Linked DNA regions of Cricetulus griseus. The protein of the gene in region 2 purifies or fractionates together with the protein of the main gene of each other region. This does not show direct contact. Links are inferred from orthologs where the notes say so. Each region holds a gene or a part of one and is shown on either strand. Other genes may lie near its edges.

Region 1 (3,286 bases), on a different chromosome or scaffold from region 2:
GTCACTTGAGCCGCCAGCCCTGCCCTATCCTGCCCGCCGCTGCAGATACTCAACGAACCCTCCTGTTGAGCCCTCCGCTGACCCCACCGAGCGTCCCATTGCCCCTTTTCCTTACTCACCCGCATCAAACTGCTTTTCCCGCCACAAACTACGCCGCCGTGACCCCTAACCCCTTTGCGCGCAGGCCCAGAGCTGCGGCGCGCCAGCTGGGCCCCGCCCCTGACCGGCTAGGGCGGGCAAACCTCACGGCTCCCCCAGCCGATTCCACGCCCTCTCGCAAAGGGCCCCGCCCCTCCACCCAACTTGGACTGCAGTCCCGCCCTTCATGACGCTATGGCCGGAGGACACGCCCCCAGCAACAAGACGCAGTTGGTGATTCCCGAGCGCCCCCTGCGGGCATGCGGGAAGCTACCTGACTGCCTACCACCTCCCGCAGGCCGCAGGGTCGCCTATAACTTACTTCTGTTGCCCTACAAGTCCCTTCCTTTCTTGTTTATGACATTCATGGCCAGATGCTCAGTCCCCAACTTTGGAAGCCTGCCCCTAGCCAGGAAGGGCCCTCTCATCACCTTCCCCATAAAGCTCCTCTCCCCTTCCCTTCCAACCCTCTGACCTCCAGTGCCTCAAACTATGCTGTGTAAGGACACCACCCCACCCACAGTGGCCTGAACTACTTCTCACACTGGGCTCAGGGTTGGCTTGCATTCAGACTTTATTTCTTTGTTTTTGTTTTTTTTTATTAAATAAAAGAGGCAGAGGAAGGGGCCTGAGGTCTCCCTAATATGGGAAGACACCAGCCCTCACCTCTTTCCACTCAAGGTGCATGGCGTGGTAGGCTGAGGTGTAAGCTGGGTGGGAGGGCAGCTGGGGAAGGTCAGAGGCTAGGACCTGTGACCGTCACCCCTCCTGGAAGACTCGGTGGGTGGGGAGGGGCCTCCTGGTGCCAACTGCCACTGGGCTTGCGGCTGAGCCCCTCAGGGCTGGGCCATGACCATGTCCTCCCACCCCAGGAGGGAAGGCGAAGCGTCCATCTGCAAGAAGATGCCACCAAGCTGGGGCATGCATGGTGGCCCCTACTCGTGCACATCCCAGATCTCGGACAGCAAAGGAGGCAGCTTCTTGTCCTGGAGCCGCAAGGCAAAGACCTGCTCTGAGTGCACAGAGCTGAGGGTGCGCAGGCTCACCAGCTTCATGAGCATGCGTGGGAAGCGGAGCTGGTCCTGCAGGGGAAAGGAGGCAGACAGGTGCTGATAAGGGCACTGCCCTGCAAGGCCAGCTGAGTCCGCAAAGTCAATACCATGAGTGGTCAGCCCAGCCTCGAACCCAACCCGGAGGTTGGGGCATCTCTACTGACCTCATAACAGCCAAACGAGGGCACAGGATCGGCATGCCCGGGTGTGTACCACCTAACCCCACCACCAAGCCCCCGGCTTGGGACTAGGGGCTCCCGTACCTGCGGCCGCTTGATTCGCGTGTAGGAGAGGAGTGCCTCCACGTAGGGCTGCTGCAGGGCCTCCACGCGGCTGGGCTCCTGCACATTGGGCCGGTCTGCTGAGAAGATGTTGATCGCAATGAGCAGGGCATACTCGGCGTCGTCCAGGCCCAGCCGGCGCATGGCCCGAGAAAACTCGAAGATGGGGTTGATGAACTCCACCTGCAAGCCTGCAAGAGCAGTCCCAGATTAGCTCCACACCCCTCATAACACTTACGCCTGCTCCCTCCCAGTGTGGACCCTGTGAATGTCTGTTATATAGCAGCCACGCCACCAAGACGGCACCAACACCCTCCCCCTTCCCCCACACACATCCTGGAAGGTCCCGTCTTCTCAGGTCCCAGAATCTGTCTTGGTGAAGGCAGAGGAAAAGGGTATAGGCTAGCCCACACTGTAAAGACTAAGATATGCTAGGACTCACTCATGAACCACTATTTAAGTGTACCTACTATGTGCCAGGCCTTGGAGGAGAGTGGTTTACACACCACCCCACCCCTTTCTCTGTAAAGGACAACAAATTCTAGTTTGCCCTGGCCTACACAGTGAGACCCAATAAAAAACAAAAAAATCCATCTGGGCAGGTTCCAGGCAAACAAGGAGTTGTCACCCAGTTCCAAGCAAGGCATAGTTAATGCTAAGCCCTGATGCTGGACTGTGCTGATGGGCACCAACTCAGAACAAGGCAACCAGTGCTTGGGACAGAATGGACCAAGGCAGAGGAGCATGGAGGTCAGGTCCTGTCCTAGCAGAAGGAGTATGGGTGCTACCGGACTGGCACAGTACCCTGGACTGCTGTAAAGACACACATGTCGGGAGGGTAGTATCTGAGAGCCACCAGTCCTCGTAAGGATCCAAGCAGGAGTGGCTGAGCCTGGGGCCAGGCAGTGGAAGAGCTAGGATGGGATGCTGATGTCCTTCCAGTCCCATCTTCCTAGACCTGACTGCCTGGGGCTCCATGAGCTTCCTTCAAGCCTGGCTGCAGGGCTTTTGATCCTTACAACAAATACTTTTCTCCCCCACACGTGCCCTGCTAAGCTCACACAGGAAGGATCCTAGGACTCCTTGTATAGTAGACGGGCTGGAGCCTAAAGAAGGAAGACAAAGTTGGGAATGGATGCCTAAGGATACTGACAGTCATTCGGGTAGAAGTGACGGGATTCCCAAAGCTACGTGAACAAGCCTCTGTTCACACTGGATGGCAGTGGCCCACAGTCCCATCCTCAGGGAGACAGCCATGTGAGCTCTCCAGGACCGAGCTCCATGAGTCAGCCTTAGGTATAGGTGCTTCTTCCTAATTTCCTGCCAGAGTGCCAGGTGACAAAAATGGTCTTGCCAGTGCCCAACCTGGAGGTCCAATGGGGCAGAAACACCAGGACCCTGCGCCAGTGCTCTCCACAGACCTGCACGGTGGAAGTCATCCTTGCTGTAAGTAAAGTCCTTCAGGAAGGTGATACACTCTGTCTCATGGTTGTAGCGTCTGGCTGTCTCCAGCAACATGATCTGGATGAGACAAGGTATAGGGCTCTTCAGGTGCCCCAAAGTCAAATGTGCTAAGACCAACTGTCATTCCTCTCCCAGGCCGGATATCCCTAGCTTTCCTTCCTCAACTCTGCCACCCACTGTCCCATCCAAGGACACTCGCCTCACATAATCATGAGGTACAGGCTAGAGTTTTGACTCTCGGCACTTAGAACAGATCTTTGCATACAGCTGACAATATTTCCTCACTATCCTTGATTTGGCTCAAATATCTATTTCTTTGAAAAGTCTTGGGGGAATATTTCCTCTTTATTT
Region 2 (3,815 bases):
TATTCACAGCCAAATCCAAAAGCCACAGGAGACAGAAGGCTCTGAGAGAAAAAGGCAAAAGTATTAGGATAATGCCACTGTCTCTCTCATTTTTCTCTTCTAATGTAATTTCCACCTTGAGAAAGATGAATTTGCAAATTACATCAATTATAAGGCATGTAAGTATTCTCCTAGAGTCCCTTTGGAGACAGGACTCCCTTACAGCATATAAAATGATTTCATTTATAAGCACTCATTATGCACACACATTTCAGAAATGCATGCATGAGAGCAGGTGAGACTTTTAGAACTGTATGCTTCCCAAGATATTCCAAGGCTCAGCAATCCTGTCCCCCATTCAGCCTCCTATAGTGACATCAAAGACTTTTTCCCTGATCAGTCATTGAGTATTCAGGATCAGAAGAGCTACTTTAAGGTTTGACATCCATGAGACTCAGCCTGAGGGACCTGCAGCATGCTGAGAGCCTACTAATATTAGTGACCCATGGCGCAGCTAGTGAGTGGCTTTTACTGATATTCTCACATGCTCAAAGACCACACCTACACACGAGAGGAAAAAATGTCCTGATCAGGGATCTGTGGGAGGGAAAGTCATGTTCAGACTTATTCAGTTCAGAAAATATTACCTAAGTCAAATACCAAAATGGATACAAGAAAGACGAGTCATAAATGAACCACTTGTGGCCGCAAGCTATCCATGGTCATGACTTTACTGTGATCTTATTATGGCCAAAGAGCTAGAAGACAAGGGGTAGATGTGGTATCTACTGCTACACTAAATACATTCCCCAATGTCATTTATATCCAACATGTTCAAGGTACAATCTGATCTCTGACAAAAATCAAATCCAACTAGTGCTCACTGTAAGGGCGAAGGAGGAACAATTGAGTAAGAGAGGAGTTCAGAGTGAATGCCAAATCCCCAGGGGTCGGGGTCAGGAAGGACTACAACTCTGGAGAAAGACTAGCGTTACTCACAGCAAAGATCTTGATGGAGAAGCCCACGTAGTCCTGCCAGGCTACACACAGGACATATGGCAGGTACAATGTGAAGTAGATGATGCCCCCACAGGCTGCTGCCAGGTTGGCCCGGGAGAAGAGCGTGCTAATGAGGAAGCACTGTAGGATGGTCACCACGGCAAACACAGACAGGAAGACGAACACTACGCTGGGATCACTATAGGGCAGCAGGTTTCCTAACTGGAGAAGAAGAGACTGGATAAATGTGTGACCTTGGCAAGCCCAGTCACTCGCTCATGTAATCTCAATGCTAGTTTCCACTCATAATTCTTTCAGAGATAATGTAGGGGAACCACACTGTTCAGTTTTCTGATGCAGAAATCAAACCCAGGAGAAATACCTTACTTGAGACTACACATTTAAAAAAAAGCCACAGCAGAATTATGGTAAGTGCGAAGTTCAGGACCTTCTACTTGATCTCAGTGGACAATATTGCTCTCTGTTTCTCACAGAGATAATGATACCTGGCTTCTCCTCATTCAAGGACAACCACTGCCCCTAAGAAAAAGTTGTGTGGGACAACAGCCCACTTATCCTCTCTCTCCACCAACCTAGAAACAGGCCAGGCAACCTTAACCTTACCCTGGTAGCTACAAAGTCTTCATGTATGCATAAATGCTTGTGAATTTTCCCACAGGACCCCTACCCTTGTACAAGGCTTAGGTCCTTGCCCTTGGATACCAGAGTATAAATAAACAGGTTGCAAATAAATCTTGGTCTGTCATCCTGGCACGATTTAGAGAGGCTCTGGCCTGCCCTGGGAACTCCATGGGTTACTATAAGGTTACTCAGCGAGTGCTCAGGAGTAATATATATAGCTAGCATTAAGATGAATATTACATTGTCTTGCTTTGTGCTCTCTCTCTCTCTCTCTCTCTCTCTCTCTCTCTCTCTCTCTCTCTCTCTCTCTCTCTCTCTCTCTCTCTCCCTTTCCTCCCCCGCTGGAAAACACTAACTTTTATAAGAGGCAGCTTTGTATGAAATAACGATGAGTTAAGAAAGCTGAAGAGTAGATTCATGTATGAGACAAAAATTTCACTGCCCAGACTCCACTTTAAGGGAGGGCTTGCCTGTCTGCAGATAAAAGACATCCAGATGTTAGCGTCTCTGTTGTCATAGCTAGGAGAGCTTCCAGGCCCTAGAACACCCCTTTCCCTGGTGAGCCCCATCCAATGACTGACTAAATGGGAGAGAGGATGTCAGGCCTTAGGGATAAGAATTTGGGCTTCTTCTCAGTTCAATGTGGGAAACTCCTGGACAAGCTATAAATTCTCCAGAGCACCCCACTGGGTTGTTGAGACATGGTTCAATTCCTCTCTCTGCATGAGCCAGCATATGTTCCATCCCTCCAGATACTGATCCCTACTAATATCCATATAGCAAAGTCTGCCTCAGCCTCTTCCTCCAGACATCCAAACTGTAGTATAACCTTCTGACTATTGCTTTTACCAACTTGAAAATAATCCCCACCCAACACTCCTAAGGATTGACCCTGAAGTACAGTGTGGTGCAGGTAAATGTGTGCTTTTCTGGAAGGAGAGAGGCCCCTTTACCTTCAAGATGATGACCAGCAGGCCAGCACTCACAAGCAGAGGGATGAGGCTGCTGATGAACCAGCTAAACCAGAGAATACCATTGTCCAGGCCCATGATCCGCATGGTCTCCTTCAGCCGAGCCTCCTTTTCATATACAATGCCCTTGATGATCACAGCAACAGAGTAAATCCAGGCCAGGGTCATGAAGAGGGGCATGGACCGGCTCATCACCCGAAGGAAACTGGAGACACAGATGAAAAGCATGGAAAAAAGCTCTTGCATATTAGAGGGAAAACTACATTTGGGTCACCAAGGGAAGGCCCACTGGACTCTCAAATGACCAAATGTTTCATTAGCAGTAGACAGAGATGAGAACCTTGGCTGACAGAGTGCAGCCATCCAAAATTTCTTTAGGGGATCACTTTAATAACTAGGAAATAGTGGGGATAATATTAAAATAAAGGTAAATTACTTTACTAAGTACTAAACACTAAAGGAGGGGACAGAGTCCAAGGGTCAGGGTCTCTAATCACCTCCTATTGACGTGCATTCACTCCCACACTGTGCAGAAACATGCATGTACTCCACATGGAGCTGCTTGTTTAATAAAAAAACAGGCTGGCTTGTTGGTACACTCACATGTCATCAACGTAACAGGGGTAGGGCATCTGTTGCACATAGACACCCGTTTTCTTCTCAGTTCCCGTCAGCACTCTGATGATCGCTTGCTCTACCACATCCTGCAAGTAGGCGAAGCCCCCCCAGACATATCGCATATCCTCAAATGGGTCAGCCCGGGGACCAGGGTCCCAGTACCTAAAAGCAAACAATAGACATACTGGAAAATCCAATTACCCACATTTCCCACACACTTCCTTGGCTACTATTCCTATTTTTTAATCTATTCCTATTTCAATTGATAAATACATAGATTCTTGAATAGAAATAATCACAATGAACACACTCCTTATGGTATATTTTTTCTTTTCTCCTTAGGTATAACGTTACATCAGATAGACATACTAAAATTTCAACTACCCACTCCCTTTTATCGCTTGTCTGCTTCTTTTTATAAAAATGTGTCTGGCTAGCACAGAGACCCCCTAAAGGCTTTTCTTTCTTTCTCCTGACTTTTAAGTCCTTTCAGTTAATCTTTTGAACAGGAATGCTGAAACGGAAAGACTAATATTTTATGGCCTTTGATTAACAGTCCCCAGCAATGCAGTTTTAGCCAAGTCATGCTGCTGCTACTGATTTGTT

Evidence for each region.
Region 1: the proteins of Abca1 (region 2) and Nr1h2 purify together in Homo sapiens (affinity purification with western blotting; 3 studies listed by BioGRID and IntAct, with this or other methods). This does not show direct contact. The link is inferred for Cricetulus griseus from reciprocal best matches to the Homo sapiens genes ABCA1 and NR1H2.

The regions. Positions count from the first base shown.
Region 1 is NC_048599.1:153,424,113-153,427,398, forward strand, and holds the end of Nr1h2 (oxysterols receptor LXR-beta), read right to left. Parts: intron 2,993-3,286; coding exon 2,893-2,992; intron 1,663-2,892; coding exon 1,454-1,662; intron 1,221-1,453; coding exon 1,074-1,220; 3' UTR 689-1,073; downstream 1-688. UniProt on the Homo sapiens protein: Nuclear receptor that exhibits a ligand-dependent transcriptional activation activity. Binds preferentially to double-stranded oligonucleotide direct repeats having the consensus half-site sequence 5'-AGGTCA-3' and 4-nt spacing (DR-4).
Region 2 is NC_048595.1:90,700,713-90,704,527, reverse strand, and holds part of Abca1 (phospholipid-transporting ATPase ABCA1), read right to left. Parts: intron 3,372-3,815; coding exon 3,195-3,371; intron 2,797-3,194; coding exon 2,574-2,796; intron 1,201-2,573; coding exon 979-1,200; intron 42-978; coding exon 1-41. UniProt on the Homo sapiens protein: Catalyzes the translocation of specific phospholipids from the cytoplasmic to the extracellular/lumenal leaflet of membrane coupled to the hydrolysis of ATP.